Linked DNA regions of Sus scrofa. The protein of the gene in region 1 purifies or fractionates together with the protein of each later gene. This does not show direct contact. Links are inferred from orthologs where the notes say so. Each region holds a gene or a part of one and is shown on either strand. Other genes may lie near its edges.

Region 1 (3,500 bases):
TTGCTCCCTCCCTCTCCCTTTGCTCAGAGAGGGAGACTGGTGGCTGGCCCACTCACTCAGCACAGGACAGACGGGCTACATCCCCAGCAACTACGTGGCACCTTCCGACTCCATCCAAGCTGAGGAGTGAGTATTAACTCTGGCTTCCTGCTAGCTCACTGCCACTGCTGGGTCCGAGCTGCTCTCCTGGGCTGGAGTGGGAGGCTGACTGCCCGGGCCCAGCCAAATTCCAGGAAGAGGCACTGTAGGCGGGCAGAAGCCTGGACTACCAGCACCATCCTTCTTCCTCCCACGCCAGGTGGTACTTTGGCAAGATCACCAGACGCGAGTCAGAAAGGTTACTGCTCAATGCGGAGAACCCAAGAGGGACCTTCTTAGTGCGAGAAAGCGAAACCACGAAAGGTATGAGTGCTTCTGCTGGCCGGTGGGAACTGAGCCCTTTGTGGGTTATTTGATCTGGGTGTTGCAGAATAAATAGGAGTTTGGTATGTGGAGTCGGGTGGGAACAGCCCTCCAGCTGGAGAAAAGACAGGCTCAAAGGCAGGGAGGTACTTTTAAGGAGCACTGAGTTATCTGGGGTGGCCAGAGGTGCAGCAAAAGAGGCCAAGCTCTCTGGCTTTAGGTTCCTCAGATGAGGAACAGGTACAGGTCGTCAGGAGGTTTGATGGTCACAGAGCTATTCCCAGGGAGGGTGCTGAGGCAATGGGCCCTCTCCTTCCTCTTCTCCAGGGGCCTTGGGGGCTGGAATGGGTGCTGGGACCTGGCTTTGCCCTTCCTCCAACAGTCCTGGCCTCTGTTCCTCTGCAGTCCCTCCCCTCTGCCAGAGAATGATCACTCCCTTTCTCTCCAGCCCCTCTGCAAGTGGGTTGCAGACTTCCCCATCACCATGGCAACAAAGCTCCCGCTTCTGTGGGCCTGGGGCTCAGTAGGAGATGGGAAAGCAGAGCATCCATGTCATGTGTGTGCATTTATGAGCAGTTGTGTGGCCGTGCCATGCCATGTGTGGGTCCCAGCATGTGTGTGTGCACGGGGGGTGGAGTTGTCTGTGTGTTGCTGTGTGGGAGTGAATTGCTGTGGGTTTGTCCTTGGGGGTGTGGACATGTCTGCACAGGCAGCCACTGGACATGGGCATGGCTGTGAGTGTGCACATGTGTTCAGGGCTTGGCCTTAGACCCAGGCCTGTGGCTTCTACATGCACATGGCCTGGGCCATCTGCAGAAAGTCATAGTTGTCCCATGCAGGCTGTAGAGACCTAGGTACAGGTTCAAGTCCTTGCTGGGTGACCTGAGGCTAGCTGCTTTCCCTCTCTGGGCCTCATTTTCCCTTCTTTACACTGGAGATTGTAAGCCCACCCTGAGGATCGTCCAGGGGTTCTGTGGACTCAAAGGCAATAAACAGTAAGGGGGCCACCAGGGCTGGCCCAGCTTAGCCTTGGCAGCCTTCAGGCCACACCCAGCACATGGTCCCCTGCCCATGACCGCCCCAGCCTCAGCCAACCCCTGGCACCTGCCTGAGCCTGGAGTCTTCAGGAAGCGGCAGGGCATGGACAGTGCTTCCCTGGGTGGACCCGCAGATGGGAGGCAGTTAGACCAGGAACACACAGCCACTTGGGGCCTTTCCCGTTAGGCTCCCTGCAAACATTTATTGAGCACCTGCTGTGTACCAGGCCCCCTTATATGTGATCTCATCGAATCTTCCCAGCAGCCCTAGGAGTAGCCCCATTGTACAGAGGAGGAAACTGAGGCCCAGACACACCGCTGGGATGCACACCCGGGCTTCAGACATCTTGCCAAGACCAAGAGTGCATGAAAAGGCTCACCAGTCAGGTGCCCCTTTGTCACTTGGCCCTGGCCCTGTGGCCACCCCAGAGCCGGGGTGCTCAGAGACGGGCTGGACCAGACCTGGCTCTGCCTTGGTCTCCCTCACCTCCTGTGTCGGGCAGGTGCACTCAGAGCCATGGCCTGGGGCGGCAGGGGTGTCTGCGTGCTGGTCACGCTCCTCTCTGGCCGCCCCTGCAGGCGCCTACTGCCTCTCTGTGTCCGACTTCGACAACGCCAAGGGCCTCAATGTGAAGCACTACAAGATCCGCAAGCTGGACAGCGGCGGCTTCTACATCACCTCACGCACCCAGTTCAACAGCCTGCAGCAGCTGGTGGCCTACTACTCCAGTGAGTGTCGGGAGGCCTCCGGGGGGCCAGCTGGGCGCGGGCGAGACTCAGCCCTCCGAGGGTATGGGGGGCAGTCTTGGCCTGTCCTGGGAGCTGCAGACCCTGAGGTGGGGGGCTTTGGGGCCGACAAAGGCCAGGGCTTCTCTCACCCTGCGGATGTGGGCCCCCGTCTCGCACCCCCTTCTTCCTTTCCCCTTTCTCCCGCCTTCCATTCCCCTCCTCCCTCCCCCTCTTTCTTCCTTCTTTCCTCCCTAGGCCCCCTCCTCCCCGTCTCCCCCTACCCCCGCCCCTCCATCCTCCTTCTCTTCCCAGCAGCTGTCTGGTGAGGAGGGGGCTGCCTGGAGGAGTGAGCCGGGAAGGAGGGGGCATAGGCTGGTGTCATTTGTCTCTGCAGCCCTAGGACCGGTTAGAACCGGTTACCGGGAGACAAGGAGGGGGCGGCTAGATCGATCGAAGCAGAGAGGGGGAAAGAGCGTGGCAGGCGGGGAGCTCACGCGCAGGTGGCGGGCCCGGGCCTGGCCACGTGTGCAAGAATGTGGCTGAGCCGTGTGGATGTCCGGGGCTGCCCAGGAGGACTGACGTATAGTGGCCTGTGTGCTCCGCTGCGGGCAGATCTCCACGGGTGCTGTGTGTCTGAGGCTTCAGCGTGCAGGTGTGGCCTTTGCTGAGAGCGCCAGCTTCCCCTCCTTTGTCAGCTGGGCCTCCAACTCCCTCCAGGAGCTGCCACCCCATTCCATCCCCTGGGCCACCACTCTTGGGTTCACTCTGAGCCCTGTTCCCCCAGATCGAAACCCTCCAGGGGTGACCTTGGAGTTTGAAACCCCCACATGGAACTCTGAGGCCTTAAGTGGTCTAACCCAGCTGGCCTCCCTGCCTTACCTGGGGCCTCCTTCCCCCACTCACTCGCCTGAAGCCCACGGCCTCCTTTCGGCTCCTCCAACCCTGTGGCTTATTCCTCCTCAGGGCCTATTCCCTAGTCAACTGCTCATCCTCTGCAGATCTAAGCCGAGACACCTCTTCCTCTAGGAAGCCTTCCAGGATTCCACCCAGCCCTCCTGCTATTGCATGCACAGCTCCCTTCTGTCACTCTCATGATCCTGGGAGGGGATTAAGGGAAGTTGGGTGCCACCCTGGACTGTGAGCTCCCTGAGGACAGGGTTCCACTGGACTTGTCCCCCACTGGCTCCCTGGCACCTGCCCAGGTAGCCACCCCTTAAAGTCTGATGAATGAATGAATGCCTCAGGGAGCAGGCGTATGAGGCAGCATGGGCCTGTGTCGGGGAGGGTGTGTACACACAGGTGTGTCCACCTGGTCTGGAGGGCATCATGGAT
Region 2 (4,056 bases), on another chromosome or scaffold:
TATTTTTGGTTTTACACACACACACACACACACACACACACACACACACGATTTGGTACCAAAATGTCCAAGGTTGTTTGCTCACAGAGGACTTCTTTTCCATGCTGGTTATATTTGTTGCCAATTTTCGTACAATACTTACAGATATATACTATTTAAAACACTGATATCATTGCTTTTAATTTCCTTTCCCCTTATTGGTAGCCAGGAAGAACCTCTGAAAGACTGTGGAGGGGGTAAAGGGTACAGTCATCATGAACAAAATAGCAGCATCTGAGGTGAACCCTGAGGCTGATGGGTCAGCACACAAGCACATCTGTACGATGAGCAGAGCAGCCGTCTGTGCCTGTGTCACACAAATCTGTGTGGGTGGGGGGAGGACTTATCCGTCCTGCCAGTTACACATTCCAGACAACAGCCACCAGCTCCTCAGTTGAATCTGAAGAATGATGAACACACACACTCACCCTGGGTGAGTGAACACATCATTTGATGTCTACTCATATTTCTGGCAAGAAACAATGGCGGCAAGAATGGGGTCATTGACCCAGACTCTGGTATCTGAGTGGTTCTTGGAAAGCTACCGTGTTGGTTTTAACAAGGTTATTTCAACTTAACCAGTCCTTTATTCTTAGAAGTGGAGGAGCTGGCAGGAATATTAAACTCAAACAAACAAACTTCACAAAGATGAAAACTTTACTTTTCATGTCTGCAGCAACACCAACTTCATTTTCACTCTGAGTCTTAAGTTCAGGGGTTTATAAAACAAATCCACTGTGCTAGGCTTTCTGGCTTTCTCCATCTTTTCAGGACAGGTCTTAATTTCTCAAAGGCCCCCAACTGGTTAGATCAACCCCAAGACTTTGGGTAAAGCACATGTACTCTATGACTGCTCCAACCACAATGGCATAACCTTCAGTTCAGCCCAGGGATGTGGCTTCACAGGTCCAGTCCCTGGGACCACAGGGAGGATTTAAAAGAGAGAAATGAGAACATTCCTAGGCTTCCTTGCATGTATACAATGAGCCAAGACACATGGTTCCAACAGTCAAGAACTTCCTGTAAGGAAGACTCCATCGGAGCCACTGGTGACCAAGAAGGCAGTCTAACAAGACCCACAGGGAGAAATCAGACATGTAACAGAAGCAGTTCAGGACCGGCTGTCTTTGTCGTTATTAGCAATGCCTTGATGCCTGATTTACACCATACTCTTAATGGAGGATTCTTAACTGTTATCACAGACAAGCAGAAACATCTCAGACAAGGCCCAGAGTTTCAAGACAGCTCCCAAGTGTAGTGAGCACGCATTTTTCTCAAACACATTTTCATGTGCTAAATCATTCCTTATTCTTAAATTTTTTTTCTCTCCAAAGAAATCCTGAAAACTCAGTCCTAAATTACAATAAATACGTACACAATATTTCCCATGTCCCATCTACTGTGCAGCAATATGTCACTGACGCTGTCGGAGAAAGGAACCAGGAAGCTTTCTGGTCTCGGATTTGTCATGATGGCAGTTACCGGAACGCCCAAGTTCACCTCAACCGCTTAGTCGGATTTTTTAATTTACTCTAATTTACCTGCCTGCCAAACACAAACGCCCCCTTAGTTGCAGCGAAGGGTAATCGAAGACCGAAACTGCTTCTTGGATAGCTCTTTAAAAACCACAGAACCTGTACTAGTCTCAGGAAAGACCTCAAATCAAACTCTTACATGGAGACACCAGGTTATTTACAGTGCTAACACTTCCAGGGCCCGCAGGGCACCTCCGCGCTGGCCCGGGCAGCTGGGATGTGGCGGTTCCTGCCCCCACCGGAACTGGGAATTCGCACCCCACCCAGGACCGCCCCCTGCCGACCCCCTTCCGCCTTCAGGGTCCTTCACCCACAGGAGCAAGGGGTCCGGGGGCGGGGGGGGCCCTAGAGACTCCGCGGCCTAGAAGCGCTTTCATTTTGTAATTAATGTTCCTGAACTTGGGGAGAGCGAGAAAGGCGCGTGCGGACCGGGGAAAAGGTGAGATAAAAGGTGGGATATCGTGGCGACAAACTACTGTTTTTCTCACACCTTCTTCTCTGGCCCAGGAGCTGAGGTAGAAGGTGCGCCGGAGAGGGAGGTTACCTCCTCACGCCCGGCCGGCGCCACCAATAATCCAGGTAAAGCCACCTCAGCTAGGTCTCGGGGGCTCGGCTTCCGCGCGCCCTTCTTTCCTCCTTCTCGGTCTGCGCCCGGATCTCACGTCCACGACCGCGGGGCTCCCGGTTTGGTACACCAACACGTGCCACGGCCTGCGCCCTGTACGAGGTCGCGCGCAATCCAGGAGGGCACGGCCACCGCGCCCGACGCGGCGCGCCCAGCAACCGCGCGGTCCCGGACACCCGGTCACCCCGACTGCGCCGTCCTCGCGCCCCCTGTCCCCTTCGGCGCCCCTCCCCCGGCCCCGCACTCACCCACTCCGCTGGACAGACGCGAAGCACTCAGCAGCAGAACCCCTAGCACTGCGACCGTGACCCCAAAGTTCAGGCCGGCCATGGCTGCGGGGCGCCTCCGCCGCGGCGGGGAAAGCGACTGTGGCGGGTGGTTAGGAGCAGCGGCAGCGGGCGCCCGAGCCTGGCACCCGCTGCGCTCGCCCCGCCCAGGCTCGCTCACCTGCGCGAGGGCGGACTGGCTCCGGCCCCGCCCAGCGCCGCCAGAGCACCGGTTGGCTGGGTCAGCCCTCTCTGTCCTCCTCCCCTTCCTGCCTCCGCACCCGCCTCTCTCGCCCAGAGCGCTGGGGCCGGTGGCCACCTTCTCTAGCCCCGTCGCCCTCCCTCTCTAGGCCGAGAGTGATCAAGTCCATTCACAGGCGCGAAGGTCGCCCCTGGGGAATCCACTCCGACTCCTTTCACTGTCCAGCACACCGAGGAGGCCACTGTGCGGCCCATTTTTCAGAGGAATGAGGTCTGTGGATCACCCAAGCCCTGGCTTCCGTCTCTGCTTCCTGACCGGCTGGAGCCTCGTTGGACTTTAAAGCCAGCCGTTCGTTGCTCCAGCTACTCTTCGCAGGACTATGAGCCTGCATTCTGCTCCAGGCACTTCATCCGCAGTACTTTTTTTTTTTTTTTTTTTTAATCTTTTTAGGGTGCGTCTGCGGCACATGGAAATTCCAGGCTAGGGGTCTAATTGGAGCTACAGCTGCTGACCTACACCGCAGCCACAGCAACGCAGAATCCGAGCCTCTTCTGCGCCGTACACCACAGCTCCTGGCAATGCCGGATCCTTAATTCGCTGAGTGAGGCCAGGGATTGAACCTGCGTCCTCATGGATACTTGTCACATTCGTTTCTGGTGAGCCATGAAGGGAACTCCTCATCCGCAGTATTTCTAATTTTCATGGCATCCCTTCCACATAACAGATGAAGCAGACCTAATGAGTTACGCAACCTGCCCAAGGTCACTAGGTTAGTTAGTAATTTATGGAGGCAGGAAGGGGTTTCCACAAACGAGGTTACTTTATTACATTTTTGGAGAGCGAATGGATGAGTGAATAAATGCATGAGTCTGGAAAGGTCCAAGAGAAGAAACCAGAACAGACCCACAGGAACCGCTTCCTTGAGTTGTGGATAGTGTATACTGGATGGGCTTGAGGCATTCACATCAACCATTGTGCTGTAAATCAGTGGTTCTGGGCATCTTTCCCTCCTCCTAGCTGCAGGTGTGCCACCTTTCTCTGGTTTCCCAGGTTCTGTGGATTCTCTGCACCACATACCAAGTCCTGAGTCACAGGGCCAAACAGAGAGGCTATGGATGGTTCAGGGACTCTCAACCAGCAGACCAATGATTCCAAGCCCCGGGGGGGTGGTGCCTGTACCAGTGGGCAGTCAGGAGGCTGGGCCAAGGTCACCCAGAACAATCTGGAAGCAGAGCCCATGTAAGAGCATTAGTTAACAGTCCAGCTCCCACTTTTGTTTGATTCTTAGGGGAACTGAGCTTATCCAGGATACTCCTACCTACTTTCATTGGGAACAGGGATGAGAAACCATCTCTTAGGAGCTTCTTCCTCTTCCTTCTACGTGTCTTC
Region 3 (3,500 bases), on another chromosome or scaffold:
GTCGATCCAGTTTATGAATGGAGGTTTGTTCCCAGAATAGCTGCTTCCCTCCTGTATCCTGAATGAATCTACCTAGAACCTTTTCCTTCGTTGCCGAGACCTATTTTTAATTGGCGCCAAGTCTCGTAACGTGGTAGGGTGGGTTGGAAGTTATTTCTAAGAACATCATAACCTAAGTCTGACGCCTTTCCTTGCTATGGATTTGAATTAAAGAAAAATTCAGTTATGATATCATCTGTTGCCTCTTCTTTATATAGCCAAGCTGCCCTAGCGACAAACCCATATACTTGTAAAGAATGGAGAAACGTGGAGGACTTCCAAGGGGGAAACAGAATTGAAGTCAACAAAAATCAGTTTGCCCTAATTGAAGGAAAAAACAAGGTGAGTCTGAAGTTCTTTAATTGCAAAATCTACCTCTCATTTATGAAAGGATGGAGCGAAAGCAGCGTAAAGTAATATGTGAGGAATATTCGAGATTGATCCTCAGGTAAGTTGGATGATAAAATACTAGCATATTAAGTCAGCCTGAAAACCATTGACTTTTAGAAGCTATCTTCCTGCTACCTTATCAGAGAAGAATAAAAACATATACCATTGACTCAGTACATCGGTTGTATGCTAATTCTGATTTTGCAAACATGAAAATGTGTGTAATGTTGTATTAAAACACATTCGTTCTTTCCTGGTTTCCAAAGCTCATTTTGTATGATGTGTGAGCTGTACCAGCATAATTATAATTGCACAGATTTGAGCACGGTCAGTGCTGGCATATGAATGGGGTAGGCAGGTCACGGCAGTTGTGGGGACGCTGAATTTTAGTCTGAATGCACATGCATAAACACAGCCTCTATTGTTTATGGCCTGAGATTTGTTTTTTTTTTTTTTTCACAGACTGTAAGTACCCTTGTTATCCAAGCAGCCAATGTGTCCGCTTTGTACAAATGTGAGGCGGTGAACAAAGCCGGGAGAAGAGAGAGGGTTATCTCCTTCCATGTGACCAGTAAGTGCTTCTGGGGGGCTGGGCTGTCCATAATCTGTCGCCCTGGGCCCTCCTGTGAGTGGTATGGCTTTAGGAAGGGGACTTGGATGGATAATTGAGGCTTTTGCTCATCAATCAGAACGCCTCAGGCAGCTCCTGGACTCCCGTGACATCATTGCACCTGACGCAGGAGAGAGAACATGAGTTCACACCTGTCTTTGAACCTCAAGTCCTGTGTCACACATTTGTCTCTGAGGTCAGAGCCTAGCACAGTGCTTGGCTTTTCGAATTTCAGTCAGTTACGTATGGGCTTGCTGCTGAACAGTTGATGAGCTTGGGTTTGGGAGGCAATTGTAGTAGCTTTGGAGCAGTGTCCTCCCAACGATGCTGATTTTGTTGTTCATCTAAATTTTATGGCTGAGCTTTACCTGACTGACCTGGATAAAATATTTCAGTCTGGGCTAATTCATTGTCATATACATAGCTTTCTTGTCAGTGCGTGTTCTATATTAAGGAGGAATTATTATTATTATTATTAGCTTTGCTTTTTGGGCCTCACTTGTGATATATGGAAACTCTGAGGCTAGGGGTCGAATGTGAGCTTCAGCTGCTGACCTACGCCATAGCCACAGCAATGCCAGATCTGAGCTGCATCTGTGACCTACACCACAGCTCACGGCAATGCCGGATCCTTAACCCTTTAAGTGAGGCCAGGGATCGGACCTGCATCCTCATGGATACTGGTCAGGTTCGTTTCTGCTGTGTCACAATGGGAATTCTGAGGATTTATTTATTTATTTATTTATTTATTTATTTTGTCTTTTTGTCTTTCTAGGACCACACCTGTGGCAAATGGAGGTTCCTAGGCTAGGGGTTGAATCGGAGCTATAGCTGCTGGCCTACATCACAGCCACAACAATACCAGATTTGAGCCACGTCTGCGAACTACACCACAGCTCATAGCAATGCTGGATTCTTAACCCACTGAGTGAGGCCAGGGATCAAACCTGCAACCTCATGATTCCTAGTCTCATTCGTTTTCGCTGTGCCACGATGGGAACTCCAGAATTAATTTTTTAAATCCCATGTTATGATTATATGCTTTGAATTTGTTTTTTAAATCTTAAAAATCATGGTTAGAACTCAAAGTGAAGAGTTCATAAATATTTGAGGCATTCATTTACACTTCCACATAATGTATTTTGGTAAAACAATGCATCTTGAAACCCAAATTGTCCAGTTTGGTTGTTTCCTTGCATCCCATCATCTGGGAATGCTACAGGTTCATTTCTTGTGGTGCTTTACTGCAGACTAAAGGCAACAAGAAAGCAATAGCACTCTGCCCAAGTTAAATCACTGCCTTCTAACCATGAGTTTTACATTTCAGGGGGTCCGGAAATCACTTTGCAACCCAGCATCCAGCCAACCGAGCAGGAGACCGTGTCTCTGCTGTGCTCCGCGGACAGAACTATGTTTGAGAACCTCACGTGGTACAGACTTGACCCACAGGCTCTGCCGATCCACACGGGAGAGCTGCCCACACCTGTTTGCAAGAACTTGGATGCTCTTTGGAAAATGAATGCTACCATGGTCTCTAATAGCACGAATGACATTTTGATCATGGAACTGCAGAATGCATCCTTGCAGGACCAAGGAGACTACGTCTGCTTTGCTCAGGACAGGAAGACCAAGAAAAGACATTGCGTGGCCAGGCAGCTCACAGTCCTAGGTAGGGAGCCAATTCTGGGGTATGCCTTAAACTTTCAGGTGCGGTGCGAAGATTGTTCTCTAGCGCTTATGAAGTAGACTTGTCAGCCCTTATCTTACCACAAGTCCTCAAAGCAGAAGGAAGCCAGTCATGGTGAAGTGATGTATTAAAAAGAGAAACTTAAGTGGTTCTCTCCAATCCTGATGGTGGGGTCACTCACTGTTGCCTGCAAGGGATTATCCTGAACCAGGGAAATTTCTGCCTCATTCTTGGGCATTCATTTATGCAAATAGGCACATATTTGTGGAATGCCTACCACGATCAGGAGGGTGCCAGAGTGGTGAATAAGTGGACAGGGCCGTTGTAGTACAGTGAGGTCTCTGTGTCCATGAGGACAGGGAGTATTTTCTGCTTTACTCCTTGCTGAGTTCCAGATGTAGAACAGAGTGGCACCTACGAGGAACTTGTTAAGACATCCGCTGCCTGAGGAGTGTGATGATGGGGCTAAGACCTGTGCGAGCCCGTGGGTGGGGGCTGCTACACTTAATACCTGGATCTCTGGGGTGCAGCTCATGGTCAGCGAGAGGATCATTTGAGTGAGCAGAGAGCTTTGTAAATTCTGCATGAAGCCACTCTCTACCCTTCTCTAACCTTGTGCCTTGCACAGAATCCGTGCAGCTGAGGCTGTGTCTCTGGGGAAATCAGGCAAATTCAGGGAGCTTATCTCTGTGCCAATCCCTTTCTTTTTCTCCTCTCCTTGGTGTTCCCTCCCAGTTTCTAGGGCACATGTGAAGAGAAATTGCCTAGAGAAAC
Region 4 (4,105 bases), on another chromosome or scaffold:
CCTCATCTACGTGCGCTCCCATCCGGCGGCTCACGGGGGAGGGCCCAGCGCCCAGAGCGGCAGAGCACCGGCCCAGGGTCGCACAGCAGCTGGGGCACAGGGGCTGCTGACTGTGCCCGGTCCTCCGAGGCCTGAGCCTGGTGTGGTCTCCCCACCATGCCCGCTGCCTTCCAGATGCGGACGCAGCAAGAAAGAGCCGTGGGGGCCTGAGGTTGGCCCCTTGGGGGTGGGGGTGGGAGTGGAGCCAGGCCCGGGCCGGGTCTCCTGACTCTGAGTCCTCCGTGCTTCCCGCTGCCCCACATCTGTGGGCAATTAGAGCCCCAGCTCCTCTTCCCGCAGGCAGGCGAGGGAGGGGCTCGCGGTCGGAGGAGGGGACGGGACGGGGCCTGAACGGGGCCCTCCTCCCTCGCCACACACCAGGCCCCGGTGGACCCGGAAGCAGGACAGGCCTGAAGCTGCCCCTTCTGGGGAAGAAGGAACAGGCCTTGTGGGGGGATGAGGGCTCGGCCCGGCCGGGTTCCGTGGGAGCAGGGGGTTACGGCCTTGGTCCCCGGCAGACCTCGGCCTAAATGCCACCTCTGCCGGCTGTGCGACCCTGGGAAAGTCGCAGCGCTGCTCTGACTCACTGGCCTCGTGCTCAAGGCAGGGCTCACGACAACACAGACGCCAAAGGCCTGCGAGGGCCCAGGGTCTGTGCCCGGCACAGGGGAGGAGGTGACAACGGGAACCAGCAGGTCCCCAGGGGCCGCAGCCTCAGGGCCCTGCTGCTCAGGGCAGGGGACGACCGCTGGACGTGAGGTGTCACTAGAAGGGCGGTCGCAGAGGCAGGGGACTCCCTCCTGGACATAGAGAAGCATCCGAAGGATCCCCGCGAGGTTCCGGGCAGGCAGCGGAAGGAGGGTGGGGGCACGCGGTCTCCAGCGAGTCCCTCCCCTCATGGCCACCCTTTCCCAGCCCCACTGCCCTCCTAGGGACACGGGGACCAGAACCCGAGACGGGGAAGCCTGGCGCCTGCCATGTCAACAGACGCGACAGCAAGGCTGCACAGAAGGGCATGGCAAGCCTTGGAAGAATGTAAACCCAGAAAGGCTGCCTGGAGGAGGCAGAGGGGGGAGGTCCCTGGAGGAGAAGGGCCGTGGTGACGAAGGGCCTGTCCACAGGCAGGGTCGCGAAAATCCCTCCTGGGATCCTGGGATCCGACTGGCAGGAACACCAAGCCCGAGCCTGGAGGGTGGGGCAGGACGCGTCCTGACTCCCCAGCTCCGCCGCCCACCAGCCACGCCGCACCACTTTGTGGCTGCTCTGAGCCTCAGTCTCCTCCCACGTAAACTGGGTACAAAACCGGACCCTGCCTCTGGAGTTGCTGGTGCGCGTTACACGGGACCGCGCGTGTACACACCACGCGAACAGCAAGTGGCCGTGGTGGCAGCCGCTGTCAGGAGCCGGGGCTTTCTACAGGCACAGAAAAGGAACCAGAGATCAGATTCGGGCTTGGGGGGAGCGGAGAAGGAGGGAGACCACCAGGAGGCCTGAGCAGCTGCCTGGGACTGGAGGAAAGCGCCCCACAGCCGATCCCCCTTTTCCAGAGAGGAACCCCCAGATCCGACGGTCGGATTCCAGACGCCCAGTCTGGGCTGCGGGACGTGACCGCCAGGACGGGCCTGCCGTGGCCCCATCGCCTTCGCACTTTCCCAGCCGCTGGGGGTTTGGAAGGACACTTTAGGAATCTGGAAAATTTGCAAATCCATTTAAATCCTGAGACGTTGCCTGGCGGCTGACTGGCCTAAAGCCAGACAGACTCTCAGGGACAAGGCTTGGGCCTGGGGACAGAGGCTGCGAGTCTGAGGTCCCTGGTCCACGCACCCTGCCAGCCATCTCCCAATTCCTCTCTCACGTCCTTCCCGCTCTCCCTGCCCCTCCCGCAGGCGGTTCTATGCTTTGGAGGCGCCCCTGCCCCACTTAGCACCCAGCAACCTCTGGGGTTTGCTTGGGGCAGGAGGCGTCCACCCCAGAAGCAGCCGGAGCAGGAGGGAGCTCGCTCCTCCGGCCCTGAGGTCGTTCACAGCCTCCTGGCCACCTCCCATCTGGTTTTGTTAAAAATATTTTCCATTTTTTGACCTACCCAACAAGGCGCAGTCTGGGACAAGGGGACAGGACCAGGGGCTGGGCTTCTCTCCTCTTTCCGGCACTTACCTTGCTGCTGATGCCTCCTGTGGTGTGGGCAGGGTCCTGGGCTCTGGCTGCCGCCCCCTCCAGGAAGACCTCCACACCGCCTACTCTCTGCTGTTACCAGAAAGACGTTGCTGGACCCGAAATGGGGCAGCAGCGGGCAGGGAGGCCGTGAGGACGGCTGCAGGCTCCCGGAGCCCCGGGAGAACCGAGGGAGTCGGGGGCTGCAGGGGTGAGGAGTGGCCTCACTCCGAAAGCATCCTTCTGGAGCAGCCGGGCTGCCAGGAAGGGCCGCCCTGGTCTGGCTGCTGCCTGGTGGCGCTGGTCAGGGGGGCCCGGCTCCCTCCTCCTAGTCCCTCCTCCTCTCGGGCTCCAAGTGGCTCACAAAACGGTCCTGGGTCCCAGACGGGGTGGGCAGGGACTGCGGGCTGCTGGCTGCCCCGGGAGCTCACACCACTGTGGGCTTGGCTGCCCCCCCACCTTGGGGGAAAGGCTGCAGGGCGGCCTCTGATTGGCTCAGCTGGGAGAAGGGGGCCGGAGCGGGGAGGGTGGACGCGTGCGTCTGTTTTCAATTTTCAGCCCCCTCTCTTCTCCCCCAAGTTTCTTGTTTTTCTTCCTCTTTCCCTCTGCTGCTCCCTCCCGTAGCCTGCTCGCTCAGGATGTGAGGGGATGTTTAGAAATTCCGCAGCCCACGCCAGCCAGCGGCTGAGTCACTTTTATTAAAGAGTGGCTGGCCCCACTCGCCTGCTGCCTGTCTCGGTGGCAGCCTCCCTTCGCCGTGGCGCCTGGGGGCGGGTCCCTGCTCTGTGCTGGGCTCTCCCGTCTGCAAAGGGAGCCCCGATAACCTACCCGGTTGACTCAGTCCCCATCGGTTCACCTGGGTGCACTTCCTGTGCTTCAGCCCCGCGCAGGGGTGGGCGGCCATCCTCGTTAGGGCGGGGGGCTGAGAGTGGAGAGTGCACGAGAGAGGGCGCTCGCCGAGGCCGGAGGGAATTGGAATGGGCTTCGCAGGAAAGGGGGACATAGACGAGGCAGAAAGCCCTTCTGAGGCCACCGGTCCCTCCTCAGAGGAAGAAGTCGAGACCCAGGCGTGAACAGCAGAGAGGGAGAGCGACCCGCCTAAGGACACCCAGCAGGCTTCCGATTCCAGGCACCTTCCTCCATCATCCCCAAACCCTGGAGTACCAGAAAGGGTTGATCCCTCATGGTCTAGACCAGGAACTATAGCCCGCAAGTGAGTGTCCCAAAGTCACAGCTACGGCGGAGCCGAGCCGGGTCTCACGCGCGACGTGATGGAGCAGAAACAGGCCATCTGAGGCCGACAGCTGGCCCTCTGCAGTGTCACCAGGCGCCCCCACCCACCTTCTTCCTGGGTCCCTCTCGCGCATTTCCGCGTCCGGCTACCTGCCCTTTCCGTGCTCCCGGCCCCTCTGCTCCTCCACGCCGAGATCCGCCAGGGTGCCTCCAGGAACCCCGGGCCTCTCACCCTCACTCCTTGAACTCTCGCGTCTCAGGTCAGAACACGTCTCTAGGCACAGACTCCTGGCCTAAGGACATCATTTGCGAACAGCTTAGAGAGGAGTTCCTGTCGCGGCCTCAGTGGAAACGAATCCGACTAGTACCCATGAGGATGTGGGTTCGATCCCTGGCCTTGCTCAGTGGGTTAAGGATCCACCGTTGCCGTGAGCGGCGGTGTAGGTGCAGACACGGCTCGGATCCCGCGTTGCTGTGGCTGTGGTGTAGGCCGCAGCTACAGCTCTGATTCGATCCCTAGCCCGGGAACCTCCATATGCTGCAGGTGGGGCCCTAAGACAAAGTAAATAAATAAATAAATAGGCTTAGAGAGTCGAGTGAAGTCACCCCCCCACCCCACTACTGTGCACACGGGGAAACGGAGCCCCAGGGAGGGAAGAGAGGCGTCCGGGCACCCAGGTAG
Region 5 (3,500 bases), on another chromosome or scaffold:
TAATTTTTATTCACTCATTTATCCAACATAAATTTAAACACCTACTGTGTTCGAGGCTCTGTGTCAAGTCCTTGAGATAGAATGATAAGCCAAACAGACATTGGCCTTTCTCTTCTGGACCTCACAACATATTGGGCTTGTTCGTATTTATCGTGATCATAGTAATCCTAAGTACAAGCCATGCCTTTCTCTCTTGAGGCTTTTAGCTTTTGGTTTGTGCTATATAGGGTATTATAATGCTGTGTATTATAGTAATTTGCATATGTATATTATCTCAACCACACTATAGGTTCACTGAAAGGTAAGTGCCACCTGCCACTTTCCATAGTGTAAGCACAAAGCCATGTACATACTAGTTACTCAGTGAATTCTGTTGTGGTTTGGTAGACCTAGAGTTAATCTTTGGCATAATTATAACGCCTAGTATGTTTTTCGAGGATTCCTTTGTCCTGTCAGAATTATGCATTTTAAAAGGGAAAAAAGTAATAATTATTTCAATTCTGTTGCTTCTAATGTGTCTCCTTTCTAATCCACCAACAGCCTATAGCTGTTATAAGTAGAACTCACTATGGTTATAAGGTGCATATTAAGTTTTTAAAACCTGAATAACAAATCCACTCATGTCTCCCAGTAAAATGACTGTCCACATGCATACAATGGAATGTAAAAATAATGTTCTTTTAACGAAATAGCTTTTGACTTGGTAATGAACAATATGTTGTTTTTCCCTGAGAAATAATTCTAGGACTTTAGTCCTAAAGATATTTTATTTAATACATTTTCAGCTTGCTGTTTTTACATTCCCAGTGATCTTACATTAAGTTAAATATTTGTCTATCCAAAACAATAGGTCAGTTATAGCCAAATTATAACTGTACCTTTCCTCTGCACACACAAAAAAAATCCTATAACAGCATGTGATCATATTGCTTCTAGAATTTATGATTGTTTTCTTCCAAAAGGAAGCTAAATTTAGCCTAGTAATTCTACATGCTCCCAAGGAAACAATGCCTGCTGTGATTTCTAGGATAAATGAATCTGCACCACAATTCCTTTACTTGACTGAGAAAGTTTAAATATCAACCTAGTCATTAACCACAGATATTAAACCACATTAAACAACCAGCAAGGGGTTAAGAAAGAAATTTGCTATGTTTCTGATTTCACTGCTGAATGAGTCTAACTTAGTTGCTGTATCGTTCTTAATACAGAACATTGTTTGCATCTCATAATGGGTCTCTAAAATTACTTGTTCATGGGTTGAGTTCTAAAATTAAACTGTGTAGAGTCATATCCAACTGCACAATACATCTTTATGTGAAACCAGCTAGAGTTTTTTGTTTTCACTCAATGTAAAAATTCCAGTTAGGAAGACTTATTTCTCATAATTTAACTGGTAAAGTTCTTTCAGTTTCTTCTCTGTTTCTAGTGACAACTAAACTGTTCTCGCCTTGAACATGTTTTGACAGATAAACTTCTCACCATGAAGGCCCCTGCTGTGCTTGCACCTGGCATCCTTGTGCTTCTGTTTACCTTGGTGCAGAAGAGCAAGGGAGAGTGTAAAGAGGCACTGGTAAAGTCCACGATGAATTTGAACATGCAATATCAGCTTCCTAACTTCACTGCGGAAACACCCATTCAGAATGTCGTTTTACACAAGCATCACATTTACCTGGGTGCCCTTAACTACATTTATGTTTTAAATGACATAGACCTTCGGAAGGTTGCTGAGTACAAAACTGGGCCCGTGCTGGAACACCCAGATTGTTTCCCATGTCAGGACTGCAGCCACAAAGCCAATTTATCAGGTGGCATTTGGAGAGATAACATCAACATGGCTCTGCTTGTTGACACGTATTATGATGACCAACTCATTAGCTGCGGCAGTGTCCACAGAGGGACCTGCCAGCGGCATGTCCTTCCACCTGATAATATCGCTGACATCAAGTCAGAGGTTCACTGCATGTACTCCCCACAGGTAGATGAAGAGCCCAGCCAGTGTCCTGACTGTGTGGTGAGTGCGCTGGGAACCAAAGTCCTGCTGTCTGAAAAGGACCGGTTCATCAACTTCTTCGTGGGTAATACCATAAATTCTTCTTACCTTCCGGATCATTCATTGCATTCAATATCAGTGAGAAGGCTAAAGGAAACGCAAGATGGTTTTAAGTTTTTGACAGACCAGTCCTATATTGATGTTCTACCTGAGTTCCGAGATTCCTACCCCATTAAGTATGTCCATGCCTTTGAAAGCAACCATTTTATTTACTTTTTGACAGTCCAACGGGAAACTCTCGACGCTCAGACTTTTCACACAAGAATAATCAGGTTCTGTTCTGTAGACTCTGGATTGCATTCCTACATGGAAATGCCTCTGGAGTGTATTCTCACAGAAAAGAGAAGAAAGAGATCCACAAGGGAGGAAGTGTTCAATATTCTCCAAGCTGCATATGTCAGTAAGCCTGGGACTCAGCTCGCTAAGCAAATAGGTGCCAACCTGAATGATGACATTCTCTATGGGGTATTTGCACAAAGCAAGCCAGATTCTGCCGAACCAATGAATCGCTCTGCCGTCTGTGCATTCCCTGTGAAATATGTCAATGAATTCTTCAACAAGATTGTCAACAAAAACAATGTGAGATGTCTCCAGCATTTTTATGGCCCCAACCATGAACACTGCTTCAACAGGGTAAGTCACCACAGGTCCCCTACTTACATATTATGTGGTAAAAGTCAGAACTGATAATCAGTCTAGAAAAGACTATCAAAGGCTTTTTGGTGCTTGGTAAATGGTTTTTACCCAAAATATCTGCTAATTCTTTCCAAGAAAATTTAGAAATTGAATCTTCGTTTAAAGGTAAGTCATAACTTGAGAAAAATTTAATGTGATTACCAAAAGAAAATATAAAATATTTTTACAATTTGTGTTTACATGTTTGCCATCATTTTTCAGATTATTAAACTTATTTCTCATATAAGTTTTAGTAGTTGTGGTAATATGTACATAAATTTTAATACAACAACAGTTCCTGTGAAATACAGTTATTGAGATCCCATGCAATCTTTACAACTTTTAGAGTAAGTTGCTCAAGTTAATTTGTAGGTTTTGCAGACTTTTTTATGAGACCCCCATTTGCTCACTGATATATGAATAAGCGGTCTATATTCTTAGCAATACTTAAAGGAATTTACCCAAAAGCAAACAAACAAAATCCCTTCTAAAATGTTGAGATATAAAACATTTTTAAGTGTGCTAATATACTTCTATGAATAAATTAGAAAACTAGATATGAAATTTTTGCTCTCAAATCTCTCCTTTAGATTTTGACTTCACTTATGGACTTCCTGCTTTAATAGGCATGTGTCTACCACGTTCTAATTTGGTGCTTTTTAACCTGGTTGATATTTGAAATTTATAGATATAAATATTTTTGGTTAATGATCGCAGTTACATGAAATGATATTTTGACAGAAAGTGTTAGGGAAATTCTTTGTTGCTTTGA
Region 6 (3,500 bases), on another chromosome or scaffold:
AACCTTTAGTTATTAAGGTACCCCAGAGTATCCTAAAAGATGCCCTTTCTTTTTTATGACCTTTACGCAGGAAAACAGACTTTTTAAAAAAATGATAATTTTTTATTGTGAATTTAAGTGATTTACAGTTTAAAAAGAATATTAAATATTGTATCACTCTATATTCACTTTGACATTTTTTAATGTCCTTATCTGTATTTTACATGATTGTAATTTGTGTATATACTCTCATACGCTCTGCTGTTTTTTTGGCAAGCACAAAGGCCTAGCCCTACTTCCCTCACATCCGCTGAAGATCCACACCCTGATATCTGGCCCATATTTTATTAAAACGGTTTTTCAAACCACGTGAATCATGAAATCAGTTTAGTCAATTATAACCAGTTATTTCGTTTTGTTTTGTTTGCTTTTTAAAGCACCCACAGCCTATGGACGTTCCCAGGCTAGGGGTCAAATCAGAGCTGTGGCTGCCGGCCTACAGCACAGGTCACAGCAACGCCGGATCCTTAACCCACTGAGCAAGACCAGGGATCGAACCTGTGTCCTCACAGATACTAGTCAGATTCTTAACCTGGTGAGCCACAACAGGAACTCCCATAACCAGTATTTTTTAAAAAGAGATAGAATAGACTAGAAATCACTTTGGGAGGCATGTGATCATTTAAATATGCATTTCCATGAAGCTGCACTCTGGAAAGCTATAGAATATCTAGGCTGAAATGCCAGAGAGTCCATGGAACGGTGTGAGAATTACCTAGAAAATCCTTGATGTGTGGCAGGGAAAGAGTCTGTTTCGACTGCTGTGATTATTTCTGAGGTCATTTGAAGAAGGTCTAGGGAAGATGGTTTGGTCTTTGGGAAGCTCAAGAAAGAGAGCATTGAAGTTAAAAAGAAGGCCGAGGATGCAAGAGTGAGCAAGAAGAGGGGGGAGCCTTGGAGCCGCCCATGAAGGTTTTTGAGAGGGAAGGTTGAGTCTTTTTAATTAATAAGGAAAAACTGGTTGACATCCAAAAGAAGAGAAAGCGGGAGGACGTGCTTTTTCCCTCCCGCAGGTCTGAACCTGAGTCCAACCAGCTTGTCCTCTTCCCGTAGAATCCTTCTCTAATCCCAAGTTCCACATCAGCCCCAAGGGAGTGATCATAGAAGGGGATCAGCTCCTCATCAAGTGCACCATTCAAGTGACACACCAGGCCCAGTCATTCCCGGAAATCATAATCCAGAAGGACAAGGAGATCGTGGCGCACAGCAGGAACGGCAGCGAGGCCGTGTACTCAGTGATGGCCACGGTGGAGCACAACAGCAACTACACGTGCAAAGTGGAAGCCAGCCGCATTTCCAAAGTCAGCAGCATCATGGTCAACATAACAGGTGAGGCTGCCGCTGGAGGGTGTCGGCCTACGGCGGGCTGCAGAAGCCGCTGTGCTGCAATCCCGGGTGGGCAGTGAGAGCTGAGAGATACTTCTGCTCCTGTTGGCCTGAAGGGATGTGCCTGGGCCGGGCTGGGGCGCTCGTGGGGAAAAGTCAGTGCAGAGCAAGTAAGCAGTTAGCTGTGGTGGTAGCAGGTGCAGGCTGTGGCCTCAGTGGCCAGCCTGGCCACTCAGTGACCTTGGGTGAGTTACTGACCCTCTCCTTGTCACAACTCTGAGATGGGGGTAATGACACCACTGTAGGACTGTCACAGGGGCTGAATGGCATCACTGTGCCACAAAGAGCCTCATACAGAGTAAGCCCTCAGTGATGGTTATCTGATGTTTCTGTTATTATGTCACAGTTCTCTTTCCTCTGTGCCAAGTACTGTCCGGATCCCTCCATCCCATTTCGGGCCCCATGGCAGGGTCAGGAGTGAGAAAGCATTACTAGGAGTTCCCATCGTGGCTCAGTGGTTAGTGAACCCGCCTAGGATCCATGAGGATGCAGGTTCCACCCCTGGCCTCACTCAGTGGGTTAAGGATCCAGCGTTGCCGTGAGCTGTGGTGTAGGTCACAGACGCGGTGTGGATCCCAAGTCGCTGTGGCTCTGGTGGAGGCCAGCGGCTACAGTTCCAATTGGACCCCTAGCCTGGGAACATCCATATGCCACAGATGCGGCCCTAAAAAGACAAGACAAAAAAAAAAAAAAAAAGAAAGAAAGAAAGAAAGCATTACTAAACTCAAAAATCATAGTAATAGATCCTCTTTGTGGAACACTATATGCCTGGTTTACATACATTTTCATTTCAAACTCAACTCTGTAAGAACGTAGGTATTATGAATCTGGTTTTAGGGATGTGGAAACTGAAGCTGAGAAGAACCCAACAATTGCAGGGTTACCAAGTGGCAGAGCAAGAGTCACCCCCAGAGCCTGTTAGATTTCCAAGCCCTCGTACTTGCAAGTTCCCTTGAACGCCTTCCTCCTTTACCTGGCTTTACTTTTCAACACAGCACTTATCACAAAAAAACGTACTCTACCTCCTCCTGTGTATTGTCTGTATGCGGCCCTCAAAAGTAAGCCGATAACAGAACAAAGGGTGGGGGAAAAAATGTGATTGTAATGTATACATGTAAGGATAACCTGACCCTCTTGCTGTACAGTGGGGAAATAAAAAAAAAAAAATCCAGAAATAGAACCACACACAAAAAAAAGTAAGCCGATAAGGGCAGGGGCATTATCTCTTTTATCCAGGGCTATATCCTTAACACCTGGAGCACAGGTGTCTGCACTTAGTAGGAATTCAGTACATATTTCCTGGGTGGATGGATGAGCATTGGACGACGGTGTTTCAGAGGACAGAGAGAATCAGCACTTTTGGTTCCCCAATGAAAGTGTTCATTCATTCATCATGGATTCACTCGTTTACTGAAAGCCTCCCCCGTGTTAAGCATTGAGTATATGGTCACAGGGACAATCCCCAGTGTCATAGGTAGGCTGCCAATGACCCAGCTGGGTGACTGGCATGTGATGGATCCAGCTGGTCTACACCAGGTCGGATCCTGCTAGCAATTTAGTTTTTTTGTTGTTGTTGTTTGTTTTTTAATTTTTTTTCCTTTTTAGAGCCGCACACGTGGCACATGGAGGTTCCCAGGCTAGGGGTCAAATCGGAGCTACAGCTGCTGGCCTAGACCATAGCCACAGCAACGTGGGATCCCAGCTGTGTCTGCGACCTACACCACAGTGCACAGCAACACCGGATCCTCAACCCACTGAGCAAGGCCAGGGATCAAACCCTCAACCTTGTGGTTCCTAGTCAGATTCATTTCCGCTGCACCACGAAAGGAACCCCTGAACGTTCAGGTGCTTGAACCTCCTGCCAGGCCTTCCGTAGGCTGCCCCCGCCCTGTGCCACTTTCCCTCATTGCCTGAATAACGACCTCCAAGGCTTCTTTCCTGATTCTTCGAGCCTGGGTTCAAGGTTACCTCTATGGGCTCTACTGCAAACACTACCTGAATCCCCTCTAGACTTAAACCCTTCTAGAGGGTAATTAAAGACTGTTTCTTTTCCACTGCTGTCTCCCTCCTCTGCT
Region 7 (3,500 bases), on another chromosome or scaffold:
GCGTTGTCGTAGGTACTGAGAACATAGCAGTCAACGATTTAGACAGAAACGTCTATCCTGAAAGAGCTCACGTTCTTAGGTGCCATGGGGACGCAGGAAGTGAAACATAGTCGCTTTCTTAGCATCCTGCTGGCTACCAAGACACAGAGCCACATAACGTGCTGCCACGGGATGGCTTGGCCCCTGATGTGGTAGGAGTTCAGAGCAGTTGACCTTGAGGAAGGAAGGTCAGTTGACCTCGGGGAAGGAAGCGGATGAGGGCGGAAGCTGGAAGGGGATGTTATAGGCTGGGACTGAGCGTAAGCAAAGCTTCAGAAATAGGACCAGATAGGGAGTTCCCGACGTGGCTCAGCGGTAATGAACCCAGACTAGCATCCATGAGGACGCAGGTTCTATCCCTGGCCTCGCTCAGGGGGTTAAGGATCCGGCGTTGCCGTGAGCTGTGGTGTAGGTCAAAGACATGGCTTCGATCTCATTTGCTGTGGCTGTGGTGTAGGCCGGCAGCTACAGCTCTGATTCGACCCCTCGCCTGGAGCCCTCCATAGGTCGCAGGTGCAGCCCTAAAAGAACAAAAAAAGAAAAGAAAAGGAAAGAAATAAGACAGACTATCAGGGGCGATAGTGAGAAAGTAGGGGGAGCTGGGGGACGAGACGGAGGGGCTTGAAGGGGGACCAGATGGTGTCAAGGCCACATGCCCACCTCTGGGTTTTGGACCAGGTTCCAAGGCCGCGGGAGCCATGGCAGCCTCTTAGGCCAGAGAGGGATGTGAGGGTCGCAGGGCAAGGGGTGGCGGCAGGTGACCGTGGTGTCTTCTGCTCTGCCATCCCCTCTAGGAACTCCGTGCGTCTGGTCATCCGGAAGGTGCAGTATGCCCCGGAGAGGCCCGGCCCCCAGCCCACCGCCGAGACCACCAGGCAGTTCCTCATGTCGGACAAGCCCTTGCATCTAGAGGCTTCCCTGGATAAGGAGGTAGGGGGCTCGGGCTTGGCGGGGGGTGGGGGCTCTCTCCCCGGGGCGGAAGCCTCGGATCCCAGCTCTCGGGGCCTCTGGGACTCCTCGGTAGGAGCTTCCGCCCCCAGCCTGAGGACCACAGGGCTCGGGATCTGAGACCTCCCCTGAGGGATTTGGAGAAGCCTCCTGGGGACGAAAGGGGTGGCCCTTGACTTCAGAAGTCAGAGTACCCCCAGCGGGGTCCTGGGTCCTGGCCCTCCCCCTGCACCCCCATCCTCCCTAGAAGCGTGAGCACCCTCTCTTCCTCTTGGAGTGGGGGCAGCTGAAGGCAGGCTCTTGGGCCAAGATGCGAGTCGAGGCTCTTCAAGGAGGCTTCAGAGCTGCTTCCCCGAGTGAATGGGTCAGTCCTTCCCCACCTTTCTCCAGCTTCTTTCAGACCCTCCTGAGTCTAAATTCCAGGCAGCCGGAACCAGCTGGGCTTTGATATGTCACCTGCTCCTCGTACAGGGCGGTTCCTTAGGTAACCTGTCCAAGGTCCCACCGCTCTGATCCTCATTATTTTTATTGTTACTGTTGTCATTACGCCTGGGGACCAACCCAGGACTGGAACCCAGAATGGTCACCCTTTAACTCGTCATCTTTCACGGTCCCACAAAGGCACTTAAGTCTAACATGCCTGGTGGCTTAGCATCAGTGGGAAGTGTCTGATGAAGTTGGGGCCCATGTCAGAGTGGCCAAGGCCTGGGGAACCCCAGGAGAAGTCGGGGATCGGGGGGAACCTCCTCTCCCTTTCTGTCACCTCGAGCTTTGGAATCCTCCCAACCACCCCTCTCCCTCCCTTCTCACGCCCCCCAGATCTACTACCACGGAGAGCCCATCAGCGTCAATGTCCACGTCACCAACAACACCAACAAGACGGTGAAGAAGATCAAGATCTCGGGTACCCGGGCGAGGGCCAGCCAGGGGGTGGCCAGGAGGGACTCTTCCCAGGGGTCGGGGTAGCCGAAGGCTCCTCCTTTGCTAACAGCCTTGTAAATAACTACTGGCCCGCGGGGAAGCGCAAGGCCGGCTCTAAACCAAGGGTAAGGCTTTTGCGGCTGGTAGCACCGGCCACTTATGGTCGGTAGTGAGTTTACTGCTGAAGTCCCTTCTTCCCTTAGTTCCCTGGGTTCTGGGTAGAGCGGTCCCGGAGGGGGAGATGTTTGGTTGTGGAAGAGAACGGGCACGTGGGGCTGCCCTTCGGGGAGAGGAGGGGTCCGCCTCCTGCGGAAGCGCCCGGTGGACTCTGGCTGAGGCTGAGCACCCCAACTCGGGGAGCCTGGGATGCCTGGGAGCTGCACCCTGGCTCACCCCACCTTGCTTCCCTCTTCCTCCCCAGTGCGCCAGTATGCAGACATCTGCCTTTTCAACACAGCCCAGTACAAGTGTCCGGTGGCCATGGAAGAGGCTGAGTAAGTGAAAACAAGCCCAGCTCTTGTGGGGGGGAGGGGTTGGGCGAGGAACGGAAACCACTACAGGTCCACATGGCTTTTCATCACCTGACAGAGGGCCTGGCCTCAGATGTCCTTGAGCAGACGATCCTGAACAGGCTTTTAGCAATTAGCCACTTGGTTTAGCTACACAGAAATGCATGCTGCATGCAGGCAGAAGACCAATGAAAGAGAAAAAGACAAAATAAAAGCTAGTGAATCTATGAGGATGGGTTAGGGAAAGAAGAGAATAATTACACTGTACCAGAAACCTAGATTGAAAGGTGGGACTTTGCTTTGAGCTTCCTGGCAGCCAAGGCAAAGAGAGTAAGGCAGTAGGGTCACAGCTTTTCTTGTTGGATAAAGGAATGATCCAAGTCATTGCGTAAAAAGGTTTGTGTGGGAGAGTAGAAAATAATTATACCAAACTAAATCTAGTTCGAGGAAGGATGCTGTGGTTGAGCAGGAAACTTTGTCCCAAGTTTGTTAAGGCAAGAGGAGAGTTTTTTTTTGTTTTGTTTTTTGTTTGTTTGTTTGTTTTGTTTTGTTTTTGCTTTTTAGGGCTGCACCCACGGCATGTGAAGGTCCCCAGACTAGGGGTTCAATTGGAGCTGTAGCCGCCAGCCTACACCACAGCCACAGCAACGCCAGATCTGAGCCATGCCTGTGACCTACACCACAGCTCACAGCAACCCTGGATCCTTAACCCACTGAGTGAGGCAAGGGATTGAACCTGCAACCTCATGGTTACTAGTCAGATTCCTTTCCACTGCGCCACATGGGAACTCCAAGAGGGGCGATCTTATGTGAAACATTTTTTCTCACTCAAAAGAAGTAGATGGTCCTATTAGAAGACATACCTCTTTTTTCTCCTGCCCTGCAAATAATCTTTTAGGGCAATTGCATTTCGTGTAATTTTTCATGTATGTGTGTGTTTATTTACATACAATAACAGTATTTTTGTAATCTAAAAACATTTTTAAAATGTTACTATCTGGTCTTTGAGATTGTTCTTAATACCACGTAGGAAAACAAGTGATGATTGGATCAGACATGTCCCTGTTATTGGATATTTCTTTT

Evidence for each region.
Region 2: the proteins of SRC (region 1) and CDCP1 purify together in Homo sapiens (co-immunoprecipitation; 4 studies listed by BioGRID and IntAct, with this or other methods). This does not show direct contact. The link is inferred for Sus scrofa from reciprocal best matches to the Homo sapiens genes SRC and CDCP1.
Region 3: the proteins of SRC (region 1) and KDR purify together in Homo sapiens (co-immunoprecipitation; 5 studies listed by BioGRID and IntAct, with this or other methods). This does not show direct contact. The link is inferred for Sus scrofa from reciprocal best matches to the Homo sapiens genes SRC and KDR.
Region 4: the proteins of SRC (region 1) and PDGFRB purify together in Homo sapiens (affinity purification with western blotting; 4 studies listed by BioGRID and IntAct, with this or other methods). This does not show direct contact. The link is inferred for Sus scrofa from reciprocal best matches to the Homo sapiens genes SRC and PDGFRB.
Region 5: the proteins of SRC (region 1) and MET purify together in Homo sapiens (co-immunoprecipitation; 4 studies listed by BioGRID and IntAct, with this or other methods). This does not show direct contact. The link is inferred for Sus scrofa from reciprocal best matches to the Homo sapiens genes SRC and MET.
Region 6: the proteins of SRC (region 1) and PECAM1 purify together in Homo sapiens (affinity purification with western blotting; 3 studies listed by BioGRID and IntAct, with this or other methods). This does not show direct contact. The link is inferred for Sus scrofa from reciprocal best matches to the Homo sapiens genes SRC and PECAM1.
Region 7: the proteins of SRC (region 1) and ARRB1 purify together in Homo sapiens (affinity purification with western blotting; 3 studies listed by BioGRID and IntAct, with this or other methods). This does not show direct contact. The link is inferred for Sus scrofa from reciprocal best matches to the Homo sapiens genes SRC and ARRB1.

Annotation. Positions count from the first base shown.
Region 1 is NC_010459.5:40,512,489-40,515,988, forward strand, and holds part of SRC (proto-oncogene tyrosine-protein kinase Src), read left to right. Parts: intron 1-27; coding exon 28-126; intron 127-298; coding exon 299-402; intron 403-2,018; coding exon 2,019-2,168; intron 2,169-3,500. UniProt on the Homo sapiens protein: Non-receptor protein tyrosine kinase which is activated following engagement of many different classes of cellular receptors including immune response receptors, integrins and other adhesion receptors, receptor protein tyrosine kinases, G protein-coupled receptors as well as cytokine receptors.
Region 2 is NC_010455.5:28,316,566-28,320,621, forward strand, and holds the start of CDCP1 (CUB domain-containing protein 1), read right to left. Parts: upstream 2,801-4,056; 5' UTR 2,530-2,800; coding exon 2,448-2,529; intron 1-2,447. UniProt on the Homo sapiens protein: May be involved in cell adhesion and cell matrix association. May play a role in the regulation of anchorage versus migration or proliferation versus differentiation via its phosphorylation.
Region 3 is NC_010450.4:41,835,868-41,839,367, reverse strand, and holds part of KDR (vascular endothelial growth factor receptor 2), read left to right. Parts: intron 1-257; coding exon 258-381; intron 382-891; coding exon 892-1,000; intron 1,001-2,366; coding exon 2,367-2,708; intron 2,709-3,500. UniProt on the Homo sapiens protein: Tyrosine-protein kinase that acts as a cell-surface receptor for VEGFA, VEGFC and VEGFD. Plays an essential role in the regulation of angiogenesis, vascular development, vascular permeability, and embryonic hematopoiesis.
Region 4 is NC_010444.4:151,190,019-151,194,123, forward strand, and holds the start of PDGFRB (platelet-derived growth factor receptor beta), read right to left. Parts: upstream 2,801-4,105; 5' UTR 2,194-2,800; intron 1-2,193. UniProt on the Homo sapiens protein: Tyrosine-protein kinase that acts as a cell-surface receptor for homodimeric PDGFB and PDGFD and for heterodimers formed by PDGFA and PDGFB, and plays an essential role in the regulation of embryonic development, cell proliferation, survival, differentiation, chemotaxis and migration.
Region 5 is NC_010460.4:29,510,527-29,514,026, reverse strand, and holds part of MET (hepatocyte growth factor receptor), read left to right. Parts: intron 1-1,469; 5' UTR 1,470-1,483; coding exon 1,484-2,686; intron 2,687-3,500. UniProt on the Homo sapiens protein: Receptor tyrosine kinase that transduces signals from the extracellular matrix into the cytoplasm by binding to hepatocyte growth factor/HGF ligand. Regulates many physiological processes including proliferation, scattering, morphogenesis and survival.
Region 6 is NC_010454.4:14,684,643-14,688,142, forward strand, and holds part of PECAM1 (platelet endothelial cell adhesion molecule), read left to right. Parts: intron 1-1,092; coding exon 1,093-1,368; intron 1,369-3,500. UniProt on the Homo sapiens protein: Cell adhesion molecule which is required for leukocyte transendothelial migration (TEM) under most inflammatory conditions.
Region 7 is NC_010451.4:9,533,199-9,536,698, reverse strand, and holds part of ARRB1 (beta-arrestin-1), read left to right. Parts: intron 1-833; coding exon 834-969; intron 970-1,806; coding exon 1,807-1,891; intron 1,892-2,329; coding exon 2,330-2,402; intron 2,403-3,500. UniProt on the Homo sapiens protein: Functions in regulating agonist-mediated G-protein coupled receptor (GPCR) signaling by mediating both receptor desensitization and resensitization processes.